Anolis sagrei: one gene and its partner. The protein of the gene in region 1 interacts with the protein of each later gene in a pairwise test. Links are inferred from orthologs where the notes say so. Each region holds a gene or a part of one and is shown on either strand. Other genes may lie near its edges. The genes, in order: GNB5 and GNG3.

Evidence for each region.
Region 2: the proteins of GNB5 (region 1) and GNG3 interact in a two-hybrid assay, tested with the Homo sapiens proteins (2 studies listed by BioGRID, with this or other methods). The link is inferred for Anolis sagrei from reciprocal best matches to the Homo sapiens genes GNB5 and GNG3.

What each region holds. Positions count from the first base shown.
Region 1 is NC_090029.1:20,396,352-20,405,565, reverse strand, and holds the start of GNB5 (guanine nucleotide-binding protein subunit beta-5), read right to left. Parts: upstream 3,513-9,214; 5' UTR 3,470-3,512; coding exon 3,344-3,469; intron 1-3,343. UniProt on the Homo sapiens protein: Enhances GTPase-activating protein (GAP) activity of regulator of G protein signaling (RGS) proteins, such as RGS7 and RGS9, hence involved in the termination of the signaling initiated by the G protein coupled receptors (GPCRs) by accelerating the GTP hydrolysis on the G-alpha subunits, thereby promoting their inactivation.
Region 2 is NC_090032.1:13,057,356-13,066,375, forward strand, and holds the start of GNG3 (guanine nucleotide-binding protein G(I)/G(S)/G(O) subunit gamma-3), read right to left. Parts: upstream 3,638-9,020; 5' UTR 3,350-3,637; intron 1-3,349. UniProt on the Homo sapiens protein: Guanine nucleotide-binding proteins (G proteins) are involved as a modulator or transducer in various transmembrane signaling systems.

The DNA of each region.
Region 1 (9,214 bases):
AAGTCTATAGATGTTCAAGTCCTATTATTATTATTATTATTATTATTATTAAAATACAACACTGCCTGAGCTCTGCAAGTGCAGCATTTTTTCCATGCAAACTTGGGGTTTCTTTTACATTACAGTGGCCCCTGGTATCCACTGGGGTTTGCTTCCTATTATTATTATTATTATTATTATTATTATTATTATTATTATTTAATAAATACAACACTGCCTGAGCTCTGCGAGTGCAGCATTTTTGGAGTTTCTTTTACATTGCAGTGGCCCCTGGTATCCACTGGGGTTTGCTTATTAATAATAGGACTTGAATTATTATTATTATTATTATTATTATTATTATTATTTATTAATACATTAAATACAACACCATCTGAGCTCTGCGAGTGCAGCATTTTTGAGGTTTCTTTTACATTACAGTGCCCCTGGTATCCACTGGGGTTTGCTTCCAGACCCCCATAGATACAAACATCTATAGAAATTCAAGTCCTATTCTTATTGTTATTATTATTATTACTATTATGTATTAAATACAACACCACCTGAGCTCTGCGAGTGCAGCATTTTTCCATAAAAATTTGGGGTTTCTTTCACATTAAAGTGTCCCCTGGTATCCACTGGGGTTTGCTTCAAGCCCCCCCCCCCCCCCCAGATACCAAAATCTATAGATATTCAAGTCCTATTGTTATTATTATTTATTAAATACAAAACCGGCTGAGCTCTGCAAGTGCAGCATTTTTGGGGTTTCTTTTACATTACAGTGGTCCCTAGTATCCACTGGGGTTTGCTTCCAGCCCCCCCCCCCCCACCAGATACCAAAATCTATAGATATCAAAGTCCTATTATTATTATTATTATTATTATTATTATTATTTAATAAATACAACTCCACCTGAGCTCTGCGAGTGCAGCATTTTTGGGGGTTTCTTTTACATTACAGTGCCCCTGGTATCCACTGGGGTTTGCTTCCAGACCCCCATAGATACCAAAATCTATAGAAATTCAAGTCCTATTATTATTAATAATAGGACTTGAATTATTATTATTATTATTTAATTATTATTGTTAATTAATAATAATAACAACAACAATAATAATAAATTAAATACAACACCGCCTGAGCTCTGCAAGTGCAGCATTTTTCCATGCAAACTTGGGGTTTCTTTTACGTTACAGTGGCCCCTGGTATCCACTGGGGTTTGCTTCCAACCCCCCGTAGATACCCGAATCTATAGATATTCAAGTACTATTATTCTTATTATTATTTATTAAACACAACACCGCCTGAGCTCTCCAAGTGCAGCATTTTTCCATGTAAACTTGGGGTTTCTTTTACATTACAGTGGCCCCTGGTATGCACTGGGGTTTGCTACCAGTCCCTCGTAGATACCAAAATCTATAGATACTCAAGTCCTATTATTATTATTATTATTATTAAAAAACAACACCGCCTGAGCTCTGCAAGTGCAGCATTTTTCCATGCAAATTTGGGGTTTCTTTCACATTACAGTGGCCCCTGGTATCCACTGGGGTTTGCTTCCAGCACCCCATAGATACCCAAGTCTATAGATATTCATGTCCTATTATTATTTATTAAATACAACACCTCCTGAGCTCTGCGAGTGCAGCATTTTTGGGGCTTCTTTTACATTACAATGGCCCCTGGTATCCACTGGGGTTTGCTACCAGTCCACCGTAGATACCAAAATCTATAGAAATTCAAGTCCTATTATTATTAATAATAGGACTTGAATTATTATTATTATTATTATTATTATTAATTATTATTATTAATAATAATAATACATTAAATACAACAGCATCTGAGCTCTGCGAGTGCAGCATTTTTGGGGTTTCTTTTACATTACAGTGGCCCCTGGTATCCACTGGGGTTTGCTACCAGTCCCCCGTAGATACCAAAATCTATAGATATTCAAGTCCTATTCTTCTTCTTATTATTATTATTATTACTATTATGTATTAAATACAACACCACCTGAGCTCTGCGAGTGCAGCATTTTTCCATAAAAATTTGGGGTTTCTTTCACATTAAAGTGTCCCCTGGTATCCACTGGGGTTTGCTTCAAGCCCCCCCCCCCCCCAGATACCAAAATCTATAGATATTCAAGTCCTATTGTTATTATTATTTATTAAATACAAAACCGGCTGAGCTCTGCAAGTGCAGCATTTTGGGGGTTTCTTTTACATTACAGTGGCCCCTGGTATCCACTGGGGGTTGCTTCCAGCCCCCCCGTAGATACCAAAATCTATAGATGTTCAAGTCCCATTATTATTATTATTATTATTTATTAAATACAACACTGCCTGAGCTCTGCAAGTGCAGCATTTTTGGGGTTTCTTTTACATTACAGTGGCCGCTGGTATGCACTGGGGTTTGCTACCAGTCCCCCGTAGATACCAAAATCTATAGATATTCAAGTCTTGTTGTTATTATTATTTATTAAATACATCGCCAGAGCTCTGCAAGTGCAGCATTTTTCCATGCAAACTTGGGTTTTTTTCACATTACAATGGCCCCTGGTATCCACTGGGGTTTGCTTCCAACCCCCCCCCCCCTGTAGGGTTTGCTTCCAACCCCCCCCCCCCCGTAGATACCCGAATCTATAGATATTACTATAGATAATAAATTATTATTTATTAAATACAACAGCGCCTGAGCTCTGCGAGTGCAGCATTTTTCCGTGCAAATTTGGGATTTCTTTTACATTACAGTGGCCCCTGGTATCCACTGGGGTTTGCTTCCAATTATTATTATTATTATTATTATTATTATATTGAGTATTTGTGCCAAGTTTGGTCCAGATCTACCATTGCGTGAGTCCACAGTGCTCTCTGGATATAGGTGAACTACAACTCCCAAACTCAATGCCCATCAAACCCTTCCAGTGTTTTCCATTGGTTATGGGAGCCAAGTTTGGTTCAAATCCATCGCTGGTGGAGTTCAGAATGCTCTTTGATTATAAGTGAACTATAAATCCCAGCAACTTCAACTCCCAAATTACTAAATCAATCCTCTCTCAACCCCACTAGCATTCACATTTGGGTGTATTGGGTATTTGTGCCCAGTTTGGTCCAGTGAATGAAAATGCATCCTGCATATCAGATATTTACATTACAATTCATAACAGTAGTAAAATGACTGTTATGAAGTAGCAACGAAAACAATATTATGGTTGGGGGTCACCACAACATGAGGGACTGTATTAAGGGGTCGTGGCATTAGGAAGGTTGAGAACCACTGGTTTAAATATTTAAAGCATTCAAAGGAGATTGCAAGATATATTCCACCCTTCCCGCAATGAAAATAGATGCCGTCCCGTACCATTCCCACACATAGTGAGCAGTAGCTGAGTTTCTCATTTTTGCGGTAAATCTCTCGGAGGGCCCGGTTTTGGGCACATTTGTCGCATGGACCAAACACATTGGCCAAAAACGTCTGGTCACACATCTTTGCGAAGTGCTGGAGCTGGAAGAGAGAGAGGGAGAGAGAGAAAAGAGAGAATGAAAGCAGGTGGATGCTAGACGTGAGGCACAAAGCCTTTGCATTTTAAACAGCACTGGCACTAACAATTTAAAAGTCCAGCAAATTGTTATTTGCTTCGTTGTGTTTTAACTGTCAAGGATGTGAAGGACTACTTGCAGTTCTGCAAAAATAACATAACCAGCTTGAGGTTAAAATTACACCCCAGGTGAAAAATGTCTTGACCTAGCGCTGCCTTTCAAGTGTCTTAAAGAATCTGCAACTCCTGCAGGCAGAGTAAACGCCGCTCTTTGAATGCAGGAAAATTCTGAATTCCTGCCACTTGTGTTCAAGATGCCTAAAGACAACCGCCAATTATGGCACAATTGATTATTACAACTTTGTTATTTGTTGCCTTCACGTAGTTCCAGCTCACGGCTTCCCTAAGGTAACCATTTCAGAGTTTTCTGGCAAGCTTTGTTCAGAGGAAGTTTGCCATCTCTGAGGATAAAAGAAGCCAAAAGGCCCAAGAGCAGAGAGTGGGTTTCAGTGGCCAAGAAGGGATTCAAACCGTGGTCTCCCACAGACTTAGAACTAACGCAATGTGAACTATGAGGATTATCCAGAAAGTTTAAATAAATCCAGAAAGGATTTTTTTAAAATATAAAGAATGAATGTATTTTAATAACACTTACATAGATTGTAGTCTAGGTATTACATTATTTTCCTACATAATCACCATTCAGTTCAATATATTTTGTCTTCCGTGGGATGAGTTTTTGATGCCTGTGTCACAGAAGTTTCCCTCCATCTTTTTCAGCCAGTTTGTCACTTCGATTTTCACCTCCTCGGCATCGGAAAAGTGTTTTCCACCACGGTGTTCCTTCAATTTAGTGAACAGACTCACTGGGTGTGAGATCAGGGTGGGTTAAAACATCCCAACCAAACAAAGTCAGCAACTTTTGTGTTGTATGAGCGGTGTGCGGACAGGCATTGTCATAACTCCCACCGTCAGCATCCCACGGTGTTTGTTTTGGACAGCTCTGTGAATTTTTGTCATGGTCTTACAATATATTCCATACCCATTTTGTCCCATGCTGTCTTGACATTACGTCCTCTCCATAAACTGAAATGATTTTGCGATGCATCATAGCTGCGTTCATGCCCTTAGCTTTTAGGTATCACATTACAGCGCAAACTTCGCACATTACAGTGCAAACTTCGGAACGAGGATGCTCATCTCTAACCTTTACCACAAAGTTAGTCGATGAGCTACTGACGACTGGCACTGCTCGTTCTCTTCCGCTGTCTTCCTGCTACACAGCAGTGATACCAATTTCCCCCAAGAAAATTCCCCATGAGGATTAACGTGCCTTGTAACCTTACTTTCCGAATAACATTCGAACTTTGAAGGCCATGTTTAAATGCACTTGGAGGGAAATGGAATGAGGAAGCTCATCTCTAACCTTTACCACAAAGTTAGTCGATGAGCTACTGACGACTGGCACTGCTCGTTCTCTTCCACTGACTTCCTGCTATACCAATTTCCCCCAAGAAAATTCCCCATGGAGTTAACGTGCCTTGTAACCTTACTTTCTGGATAACACTCGTACTTTAAAGGCAATGTTTCAATGCAATGTAATCCTGGGAATTACAGTTTGGTGAGGCATAGCACTCTTTGGCAGAGAAGGATAAAGGCCTTGTAAAATGTCAACACAGATTGTTCTGTAGCATTTTTAAAACATTGCCTTTTTTACAAATTGGGTAATTGGCAGTGGGTTTGGGGGGGTTGTAGGTTTTTCGGGCAGTATGGCTATGTTCTAGAAGCATTCTCCCCTGACATTTCGCCTGCATCTGTGGCAGGCATCCTCAGAAGATCTGTTGTGAGATCTCAGTGGTTTTTTCCTTGCATGTAAATACAGGTATACTTCACTTTGGGTGCTTAAAATATATTAATGGATGTAGAATTATTTGAGTCTAAATGTACATTCTTTGCACTAGGTTTTATTTGGCAGATCTGGCTTCTAAGCAAAAAGGAAAAACAAATTAAATCCCACAAGTCTGTCCATCCCTGAGGCATATTGGCAATCCCTGATCTTTGATCCAAGGAGCGTAAGTCATATCATAAGACTCCCAACGAGGAATAAGAATATGATACTTCATTGTTGTTGTTCATTCGTTCAGTCGTTTCTGACTCTTTGTGACCTCATGGACCATCCCAGGCCAGAGCTCCCTGTCGGCCGTCACCATCCCCAGCTCCTTCAAGGTCAATCCAGTCACTTCAAGGATGCCATCCATCCATCTTGCCCTTGGTCACCCCCTCTTTCTTTTTCCTTCTATTTTCCCCAGCGTCATTGTCTTCTCTAAGTTTTCCTTTCTTCTCATGATGTGGCCGAAGTACTTCATCTTGGCCTCTACTTTCCTTCCCTCCAGTGAGCAGTTGGGTTTTATTTCCTGAAGTATGGACTGGTTGGATCTTCTTGCGGTCCAAGGCACTCTCAGAACTTTCCTCCAGCACCACAGTTCAAAAGCATCTCTCTTCCTTCGCTCAGTCTTCCCTATGGTCCAGCTCTCACATCCGTAGGTGACTATGGGAAATACCATTGCTTTGACTATGCGGATCTTTGTTGCCAGTGTGATGTCTCTACTCTTCACTATTTTGTCGACATTGGTCCTTGCTCTCCTCCCGAAAAGTAAGCATCTCCTGATTTCCTGGCTGCACTCTGTGTCTGCACTCATCTTTGCACCTAGAAATATAAAGTCTGTTGCTGCCTCCACGTTTTCTCCCTCTATTTCCCAGTTGTCAATCGTTCTTGTTGCCATAATCTTGTTTTTTTATGTTTAGCTTCAACCCAGCGTTTGCATTTTCTTCTTTCATCTTGATTAGAAGGCTCCTCAGCTCCTCCTCGCTTTCGGTCATCAAAGTGGTGTCATCTGCATATCTAAGGTTGTTAATGTTTCTTTCAGCAATTTTCACCCCAGCCTTGCCTTCGTCAAGCTCTGCACATCCTTGCATGATGTGTTCTGCATACAAGTTGAATAGGTTGGGTGAGAGGATACAACCCTGCCGTGCGCCTTTCCCAATCTTGAACCAATCTGTTGTTCCGTGGTCAGTTCTTACTGTTGCTACTTGGTCCTTATACAGATCCCTCAGGAGAAAGACAAGGTGATTTGGTATGCCCATACCACCAAGAACATGCCACAATTTATGATGATCCACACAGTCAAAGGCTTTAGAATAGTCAATGAAACAGAAATAGATGTTTTTCTGAAACTCCCTGCCTTTCTCCATTCTCCAGCATCCAGATATTGTCAATCTGGTCTCTGGTTCCTCTGTCTTTCCCAGCTCGTCCATCTGGCAACTCTCTCTCCATGTCTTGCTGGAGTCTTCCTTGCAGGATCTTGAGCATTCCCTTCCTGGCATGAGAAAGAAGAGCCACTATGCGGAAGTTTGAGCAGTCTTTAGCATTTCCCTTTGTTGATATGGGGATAGAAGTTGATTTATCTGGGGAGGCCCTTCTTTTGCCCCTGCCAGCTTCACAAGCTCGCCCGGTAAGCACTAGGGAGAGAGCTTTCTCCTCTGTGGCCCCCCGACTTTGGAACTCACTACCTGGAGAAATTAGGGAAGCCCCTACCCTACAAACCTTTAAAAAGGACCTTAAAACCTGGCTCTCCCGCTGCGCCTTTGGAGTATGTATACAATCCCAGACTACTGCTTAGCCTCAACCTTCTGTCATTGGCATATATGTTGTCCCCCGCTCTGTGGGAAAGCTTGATTCCACAACCCCCACTATAATGAGCCCTCCTCCGCAAATAATCTGTCTCTTTTTTATCTCGCCTGAGTTTTAAAATAATAATAATAATAAAACTTTATTTGTACCCTGCTACCATCTCCCCAAGGGACTCGGTGCAGCTTACATGAGGCCAAGCCTGCAGTACATCAATAAAACGACAGCAGTAACAAAATAATCAATACAAAACAGTAAAATAAATCTCAAAACAAAAATAAACAATAAACAATAACAATGAACAATAACATACAAGCATTTAAAAGTTTTAATTAGTCTCTCTTTTAATCATTACATGTAGCCCATCCATTGTTATTGTGATTGCGTCTATTGTAATTTTATATTGTTATATATTTACATGTTTATTTTATTATGATGTTGTTGTTTACTGTTTGCATTTTTGGTTGTGTTTTGGTTTTATTTTATTGTAATTTGTTGTTCGGGCTTGGCCTCATGTAAGCCGCTCTGAGTCCCCACTGGGGAGATGGTGGTGGGGTATAAATACAGTATTGTTATTATTATTATTATTATTATTATTATTATTATTATTATTATTATATTTTTCCAGTCTGAAGGCCATTCTTGTGTTTTCCATATTTGCTGGCCTATGGCATGCATCACCTTGACAGCATCATCTTTCAGGATTTTAAACAGATACTTCACGACTCTACACAAAATTCAAGAAAGCAGTCACTTTGTTACCTCAATCAAAGAAGACACAGCTCTGAGTAACTATCTATAGTAAACATATTTTTAAGTATTTATGCTAAATAATAAACAATATAACAATCATCTCAATATTTCTCTATGGCTTCTAGATATGTTTGATATTAATAGTATTTTAAATGCTCCTTACCTTCTTTTATCAGAGCAAAGACTTCAAGATGCCGGGACGGCAAGGAACTGACCAGTTTCAACTGGACACATAAGAGGACGATCCTAATGCTGTGATAATCGGCTTAGACAGTCAGAAGGCACACGCCTGGGTTTTGTATTGCAACACCTTTCCTGCTGCTGGTTTATGGTTCCACAGAAGTGAATATTTTTTTCTCAAGTCATGGAAGAAACTGTCATGGGTGAAAGAAAAATAATAATAATCCAGGAAGACCAGTCCATAACGTTGACAGAAATGTGCCCAGTTTGAAGTTTGGGGATTGGCAGAAAAAAAATTAAATGCAAAGATGGAGGATGCCTGGCTTGACAACAATATGTGTGGAAAAGATCTTGGAGTCCTCGTGGACAACAAGTTAAACATGAGCCAACAATGGGTTGTTGCAGGTTTTTTTTCGGGCTATATGGCCATGTTCTAGAGCAGTGTTTCTCAACCTGGGGGTCGGGACCCCTGGGGGGGGGGTCACAAGGGGGTATCAGAGGGGTAGAGGCAGCCCTAGGTAAATTTCAACGGTAAGCAAACAGTATTTTGGCGCCCACCCCCCAACCAATCACTGATACATATTTTCTGTTCATCATGGGAGTTCTGTGTGCCATATTTGGTTCAATTCCATCTTTGGTGGAGTTCAGAATGCTCTTTGATTGTAGGTGAACTATACATCCCAGTAACTACAACTCGCATATGTCAAAGTCTATTTTCCCCCAAGAGCGCCTCAAGAGCGCCCCTGGGCAAAATCAACTCCACTGCAAATGCTTACTTTGCATAATGGGTTGAGCCACCCCTGCAGAGGGGTCCCCAAAGACCATCAGAATATACAATATTTCCTGTTGGTCATGGGGTTCTGTGTGGGAAGTTTGGCCCAATTCTATCATTGGTGCGGTTCAGAATGCTCTTTGATTTTAGGTGAACTATAAATCCCAGCAACTACAACTCCCAAATGTCAAGGTCTATTTTCCCCAAACTCCACCAGAGTTCACATTTGCACATATTGAGTGTCCGTGCCAAGTTTGGTCCAGATCCATCATTGTTTGAGTCCATAGTGCTCTCTGGATT
Region 2 (9,020 bases), on another chromosome or scaffold:
TCCTCTTGATGCAGGCCAAAATCCCATTGGCTTTTTTTGCCGCCACATCACATTGTTGGCTCATGTTTAACTTGCTGTCCACGAGGATTCCAAGGTCTTTTTCACACGTACTGCTCTCGAGCCAGGCATTGTCCCCCATTCTGGATCTTTGCATTACCTTTTTTCCTGCTTAAGTGGAGTATCTTGCATTTGTCCCTGTTGAACTTCATTTTGTTAGTTTTGGCCCATCATCTCTCTAATCTGTCAAGATCGTTTTGAATCCTGCTCCTGTCCTCTGGAGTATTGGCTATCCCTCCCAATTTGGTGTCATCTGCAAACTTGATTATCCTGCCTTCTAACCCTTCGTCTAAGTCATTAATGAAGATCCTGATCAGGACCGGGCCCAGGACGGAACCCTGCTTGTGGCACTCCGCGCGTCACTTCTTTCCAGGATGAAGAGGAAGCATTGGTGAGCACCCTCTGGGTTCGTCCATTCAGCCAATTACGGATCCACCTCACCGTAGTTTTGCCTAGCCCACATTGGACTAGTTTGTTTGCCAGAAGGTCATGGGGGACCTTGTCGAAGGCCTTCCTGAAATCCAGGTACGCTCCATCCACGGCATTCCCCGCATCTACCCAGCTTGTAACTCTATCGAAGAAAGAGATCAGATGAGTCTGGCATGACTTGTTTTTGATAAATCCATGTTGACTATTAGCGATGACCGCATTTGTTTCTAAGTGTTTGCAGACCACTTCCTTAACAATCTTTTCCAGAATCTTGCCTGGTATCGACATGAGGCTGACCGGACATTGGTCATTGTTTGGGTCATCCTTTTTTCCCTTCTTGAAGATTGGGACCACATTGGCCCTCCTTCAATCTGCTGGAACTTCTCCCGTTCTCCAAGAACTCTAAAGATGGTTGCCAATGGTTCCAAAATGACTTCCGCTAGTTCCTTCAATACTCTTGGGTGTAGTTGATCTGGCCCTGGGGACTTGAACTCATTTAGAGCGGCCAGGTATTCCTGGAGGACTTGTTTCCCAGTTTGGGGTTGGATGTCCTCTAATCCCTCATCCACTCCATCTTGCTGAAGTTGAGGATGACTTTCTTTTTGTGAGAAGACTGAGGCAAAGAAGGCATTAAGTAGTTCTGCCTTTTCCTTATCCCCTGTCAGCATTACCCCATCTTCTCCTCAAAGAGGCCCTATCGCCTCCTTGTTCTTCCTTTTTCTACTCACATTTGCATGCTTTTGAACTACTAGGTTAGAAGAAGCTGGGGCTAACAGCAGGAGCTCACCCCACTCCCCAGATTCAAACCTGTGACCTTTTGGTCTGCAAGTTCAGCAGCTTAGCGCTTTAATCCGCTGCACCACTGGGGGCTCCTTCTTGTATATTTGCAATCAATTAATATATAATCATATTGCTAGTATAATGAAGGAAGCTGCCTACCCTTATTCATATGCTAACCATAGCAACGACCTACCACTGCCATTCCCCAATGTTAAATGTAAACAAATGCACATTCCTCCCACAGAGATTTTTTTTTAGAAAACATACTTTACCCTTTGAAAGATAATCTGTCACAGGAAAACGAACCTTTAGAACTCAATTATTAGAGCGATTCCTTTTCTTCCCATGGCCACTCATCTTCTTCCTATGAGGAACGGCTTAAGGAGCTTGGTATATTTAGTATTGAGATCAAGGCTGAGAGGGGGCATGACCACCATGTTTAAATATCCATATTATTATTGAGGATAGTATGATTTTAATACTGAATTCAATGTTTTACATGTTTTAATGTGTATTTAATTTTAATTTCTAATTTAAGTGTATTCTGTTTGTTGTCCAAAGGCAGTGAATAGGTTTTTTTTTTCTGTGTCAGGAGCAACTTGAGAAACCGCTAGTCGCTTCTGGTGTGAGAGTATTGGCTGTCTGCAAGGACGTTGCCCAGGGGATGCCCAGGTGTTTTGATGTTTTAACATCCTTGTGGGAGGCTTCTCTCATGTCCCTGCATGGGGAGCTGGAGCTGACAGAGGGAGCTCATTCGCGCTTACTCTGGATTTGAACCTTCGACCTGTTGGCACAAGGGTTTGACCCATTGCCTTGAGTCCCTTTTGAGGTAAACAAATAGAATAGTTGTTTGTACTGTATTGCTGATACTGGTTGTTAACCGCTCTGAGTCGCCTAATGGCTGAGAAGAGCGGTATACAAGTAAAGTAAATAATAAATAATAATAAATAAATAATAAATAAATATTTGAAAGGAGCTCACATTCTAGAAGGGGCAACAGAGCAATGGATTCAATTTGCAAGGAAGCAGATTTCACCTAAACATTAGGAAGATCTTCCTTACAGTAAGTGCTGTTTAGTGGTGGAATATGTTGTTGCCTTGCAGTCCAGTGGGGTCTCCAACTTTGGAGGGTGTTTAAGTAGAGACTGGATGGCAATCCGTCGGGAGGGCTTTGATTGTGTCTTCATGCATGACAGAGGCTTCGCTTGAATGACATCATCCTAGATTTGGAAGGGCCATCCAGTCCAACCCCATTCAGCCAGGCAGAAAGACACAATCAAAGCTCTCCTGCCAGATGGCCACCCAGAGTGGCCTTTCCCAACTCTTATGATTCTACGATTCAATCCAACCCCATTCTCTCTTCTGTCTGACATCCATCAGGAGGGCTTGGATTGTGTTTTTCCTGTATGGAACAGGGTTGAACTGGATGGCCCTGGGGTCTCTTCCAACATTAGGGTTCTATGACTCTGAGGCTGGATGGCCATCTGCCGGGAGGGCTTTGAATGTGCTTTTCCTGCAAGGAAGAGGATTGGACTGGATGGCCCTGGGGTCTCTTCCAACACTAGGGTTCTATGATTCCGAAGCTGGATGGCCATCTGTTGGGAGGGCTTTGAATGTGTTTTTCCTGCAAGGAACAGGGTTGGACTGGATGGCCCTTGGGTCTCTTCCAAGTCTAGGATTCTATATGCATCTCCTATTGCGTCCACTGAGAAAGGAGCCTATTCTGGTGGCCATTCTGAAGGCTGCCTTCACACAGAAATAGAGACTCATGCAGTAATACTATTCCTAAACTGTAGGAGGTGATGGGGAGGGAACAAATGAGAGACAGGGAGAGGAAAACAGAAATGCTTCTCTCCATCCCACCCCACCCAAACCACCCAGCCAAGGCATATATTGTCTTTGTCTCTGTTAGAACAGATACAAAATGATATAGAGTAGCCATGCAACCCAGATCCTTATGTTTGCCTTAAAAAAAAAAGCCACTTTCCCTAGAGAGTCTTCACCTACCATTGATCTCATGCATATAAGCCTCCAACCTGGACTGAGCCCCAACCTCCAAGACAAACCCTTTCGTTGCTATTACCTGGACAAAAAGAAGGAGATCAAAATGGTATTCTTCAGCCCTTTGAAGCTCTGGATAAGGTGGGCGACTCTTCTCTATCCCCTATCAATACTGGGAAATTGTAGAGCGAGGAAAAGGGAGGGTTCTGGCAGCCTTTGCCTGCTTGGTTCTCCTCCTCTGCCACCAAATTGATGCCTCGCTGTCTCCCCCAAATGGCTCTGCTCACCTTTCCTAGGCTTAGTTCAATAGTCCAGCACCTTGAGGATGCTGCAAAACCCCTCAATGCTGGGACCGAACCATCTCTGTGTCAGAGAAAGGGGTGGCAGTACCCACACCCAGATAGGCTTCAAGGGGAAGCAAGAGATTTGTTTACTTTTTAATACATTCCAAAAGTGTGGTTTTGCCACCAAAAGGAAGCCACGAAGGAGGAAGCACAGAGGCAAAGAGGACGCAGCACACAAACAGGACCAGAAACATAGAGGTTCGGGTGAATGCACCCCCTATGCAGGTAATGGTACGAACACATGAAAGCTGCAGTACATAGCAGCATCATCATCATCATTGCCTCTTTCATTTGGAAATCTGACATCAGTGCACTGCTTGCTTTTTCTTGCTCTTTCTCTTCCTTCCTCTTCTCTCTCTTGGTTCCAAAATCTATGACAATATGTGATTTCACCATCCTTTTTGATAAGGAAAGAAAGGACATTTTGCTGGCTCTCAGGTGAAGTGTTTGGTGTCGGAATCCAGATGCCTTAAAGAGCCAGACACAGGAGTATAGTCCAAACAATAGTTTATTAAAGCAAAGTAAATAGGACCCAGAGACACTTGCTTCAGTGCCTCTGGTCAAAACTCAAAGTTTGTAGCAATTTACAGCTTGAAAAACGAACTCAGAAAATAAGCCAGATTAAACTGGCAAAAAAACCCCGGATTAAACAAGAGTTTGTGCAAAACACACCAAAATCTCACAGTTCAAAGAAAACAAGCAAACAAAGAGCTGTGAAGATAAGCCGTTGTCCAGTAGCAGTCCAAAGTCGAAGAAATCTCAGTTGAAAGTTCCAAATTCCACAAGGCCGTATCGTCAAAACAGTCCGAAGTCAAGGAGAGAGGAAATCCGCACTTACGAGAATCCAAGCAAACAAAGCAAACAGCAACCTGCAGATCCAGGACCCAAGCCCAACAGGAAAGCGGCAGCGACAAGACCCAAGTCACGAAACCAACCAAGCAAAGTTCTATAATTCCAGTGCCTTTATTTATCTTACAGCTCATCATCCGATGATGAGCTGCCCTCCATCCCGTCCTCATTGCTATCAGCTGGCTTAGCCTCTACAGCTGAACGCCAATGCCCATCCCTCCAACTCTTTCACTTCTTGTCAAGACTTAGGTCTCCCCATGAATCCACAGTATCACCAGATTGCCAATCCCCGTCACCAGAAAACCCCACAAAAGTGCCACTAAACGTTGGTTGAGTACACACATTCTGAACCTCCTGTACCTTGGTCCAATCCAGTGGTTCCTCTTCATCCCCATCACTCCCATCACTGCCGTTTCACCGTCCACTTGTGACACCGAGTCCTTTGATGGAGTACTTCCTCATTCTTCTGCACTCTGCTGGAAGGATTTTTATGGCATTGTAAATTAGTCTCTCCACATAAAGCAGTACCTAAATTTCCTACTTGACAGATGCAACTGTTGCATAGGTCAGCAGCAAGCTAGACTCCATACTCGATAATTTCCATCAATGCCTTGAGGTCATTACTGGATGGTTGTGTGCCAGCAGGTTGAGGGTGAATCCAGCGAAGACGGAGATCCTTTGGTTGGGTCGCCCAGACGGAGGAGTGATCTGGTTGCCTACCCTGGATGGTGTGACATTATGCCCGTCATCTTTGGTAAAGAGTCTGGGAGTCTTACAGCCTGTGCTGGACGGGGTCACACTCCCCCTAAAAGCACAGGTACGCAGTCTGGGAGTTCTCCTGGATTCATCGCTGAGCCTGGAACCCCAGGTTTCAGCGGTGGTCAGGGGAGCATTCGCACAATTAAAACTTGTGCGCCAGCTGCGTCCGTACCTTGGGAGGGCTGACTTGGCCACGGTAGTACACGCTTTGGTTACATCCCGCTTAGATTACTGCAACGCTCTCTATGTGGGGTTGCCTCTGAAGACTGCCCGGAAGCTGCAGCAAGTACAACGCGTGGCAGCCAGATTGCTAACGGGTGCGGGGTACAGGGAGCACACCACTCCGCTCTTACTTGAACTCCACTGGCTGCCGATTAGCTTCCGAGCACAATTCAAAGTGCTGGTGTTAACCTATAAAGCCCTAAACAACTCCGGCCCTGTTTACCTCTCCGAACATATTCTCCCCTACGAACCATCAAGACCACTAAGATCGTCTGGAGGGGCCCTGCTCTCGGTCCCTCCGCCTGCACAAGCACGGCTGGTGGGGACGAGGGACAGGGCCTTCTCAATGGTGGCCCCTCGACTTTGGAACTCCCTGCCATTAGAGATCAGAACTGCCCCCTCCCTCATGACGTTCAGGAAACTAACAAAGACCTGGTTGTGGAACGCGGCATTTGACAACTGATTTAATTTTTTGCCCACATGAAAGGAGGATGATGAATGGGATTGTGATGGTGTCGGACGAGTTGGCTCTTTTAACTGTGATGATAATGTTTTAACGTGTATAGTGCTGATATTTTAACCGTGTAATGAAGTGGCATTGTGTTGTTATTGTATTTTTTTGTATGTTAACACATGTTGTGAACCGGTCCGAATCCCTCTTTGAAGGTGAGAGGGTCGGTATATAAAACCTCGAAATAAATAATAAATAAATAAATCTTTTTAGACCCTCTGCTGACAGTGGAGGCCCAGGCTTCCACTGCGAGCAGAGTTGCATTTTTCCATCTGTGTCAGGCTAGGCATCTGGCTCCCTATCTGTCCAGGGACGACCTGGCCTGAGTTGCATTGGCCTTTTTAGCTGTTAACCTAATGTTCAGCTTGTGGCATATTAAGACACCCAGATCCCTTTCACGTGGGCTATTTCCAAGCCATCCTATAACTGTGAATGCCTACGTTTGGTACTTTAGTATCACGTTGGCCTTTTGAGCTGCAGCATCACCTTGTTCAGCATGTGTTCTACTATGGGCCCTTCCAGACATGCCCTATATCCCAGGATGTAATCCCAGGTTTTTTATTTATCCCAGATTATCTGGCATTGGGGACTGATATAACCCAGTTTAAATCAGACTCTGCTGATTTATTGCTCTACTCACATTTGCATGTTTTCGAAGTGCTAGGTTGGCAGAAGCTGCATAGAAGCTGCTAACAGTGGGAGCTCACCCCGCTCCGTGGTACCTATTGCTCTACTCACATCTGCATGCTTGCAAACTGCTAGGTTAGCAGAAGCTGGGGCTAACAGCAGGAGCTCACCTCGCTCTGCAGAACCTATTGCTCTACCCACATTTGCATGTTTGCGAACTGCTAGGTTGGCAGAAGCTGAGGCTAACAGCGGGAGCTCACCCCACTCTGCAGAACCTATTGCTCTACCCATATTTGCATGTTTGCGAACTGCTAGGTTGGCAGAAGCTGGGGCTAACAGCGGGAGCTCACCCCACTCTGCAGAACCTATTGCTCTACCCACATCTGCATGTTTGCGAACTGCTAGGTTGGCAGAAGCTGGGGCTAACAGCAGGAGCTCACACTGCTCTGCGGTACCTATTGCTCTACTCACATTTGCATGTTTTTGAAGTGCTAGGCTGGCTGAAGCTGGGGCTAACAGTGGGAGCTCGCCCCGCTCCACAGTACCTATTGCTCTACTCTCATTTGCATGTTTGCGAACTGCTAGGTTGGCTTCTGCTGGGGCTAACAGCAGGAGCTCACACTGCTCCGCGGTACCTATTGCTCTACCCACATTTGCATGTTTGCGAACTGCTAGGTTGGCAGAAGCTGGGGCTAACAGTGGGAGCTCATCCCGCTCCACAGTACCTATTGCTCTACTCACATATGCATGCTTGCAAACTGCTAAGTTGGCAGAAGCTGGGGCTAACAGCAGGAGCTCACCTCGCTCTGCAGAACCTATTGCTCTACCCACATTTGCATGTTTGCGAACTGCTAGGTTGGCAGAAGCTGGGTCTAACAGCGGGAGCTCACCCTGCTCCACGGTACCTATTGCTCTACTCACATCTGCATGTTTGGAAACTGCTAGGTTGGCAGAAGCTGGGGCTAACAGTGGGAGCTCACCCTGCTCTGCAGAACCTATTGCTCTACTCACATTTGGTCAGCAAGTTCAGCAGCTCAGTGGTTTAACCCGCTCTGCCACGGGGAGGGGGGGCTCCTAATAATAATAATAATAATAATAATAATAATAATAATGGAGGCTGTTCTCCTACAAAGACCCTGAGTGGGCAGAGACTGGTTTGGGTCCCAGGCCCATCCCCATTGATGGGCATGATGGGGCCCTTGAGAGGCAGCCTGCCCATCAGAGGATGCTGCTCTGGACCACAGCGGGCCCTGCTCCGTTGCCATGGCGACGGGAGGCGAGTGGGCTGCATCCCTGAGGCCACGTGACTTGCAAGATGCTTGTGAGCAGAGCCATCCGCTCTCAGAAGAGCCCGCCCCCTTCGTCCCCCTCCCTCCCCAAAGGGGGCGGGGCTTAAACCCGGAAGAGGCTCAGCTGGATTTGGGGAGAGGAGGAGAGGCAGGAAGAGGCGGTGGCTGCTGCTGCGACCCTGCGACCAACTCAGGTTTACTTCTTCTCACATTTTCCCTCCCCGCAGCTCGCCTAGCCCAACCCCTATTCTGCCATGCGGGGAGACACAATCAAAGGTCTCCCGACAGATGGCCTCCCAGAGAAAGAGGCTCCATTTAATGTTCTCTCTGTTTTGTGACTGGGGCCTGGGCGTTTCTCTTGACCCTGGCATTAGCAAGGATGAGCCATATTTAAATGGAGTGTCCTTCTCTAGAGGTGTTTAAGCATAGGCTGGATGGATGGCCATCTGTTGGGAGGGCTTTGATGGTGTCCCTGCCTGGAAGAATGGGGTCGAACTGGATGGCCTTTGAAGGTCCCATCAAACTCTGATTCTATAATAATATTAATAATAATAATAATTAATAATAATAATGGGTTGTTGTAGGTTTTTCCGGGCTATACGGCCATGTTCTAGAGGCATTTTCTCCTGACGTTTCGCCTGCATCTATGGCAAGCATCCTCAGAGGTAGTGAGGTCTGTTGGAAGTAGGAAAATGGGTTTATATATCTGTGGAATGACCACGGTGGGACAAAGGACTCTTGTCTGCTGGAGCTGGGTGTGAATGTTTCAACTGACCACCTTGATTAGCATTTAATGGCTTGGAAATGCCTGGGGGAAACTCTTGTAGAGAGGTGATTTGATGTGCCTGTTTGCTCTCTGTTGTTTTGCTGTTGTAATATTTGAGTTTTTTAATACTGGTAGCCAGATTTTGTTCATTTTCATGGTTTCTTCCTTTTCTGTTGAAATAATAATAATAATAATTCTCTTTCTGAAAGCTGTAATTTAATGCTAAACATGTGCTTAACTTGGAGCTGCAGGCAATAAATAATAATAATAATAATAATAATGATTTAAGTGCTACTCTTTGTTTTAATGCTGGTCACTGATGGAAATTGAATATTCAGGCAACTCTTGGATTCTATAATCATCATCATCATCTTGGATAATGATGT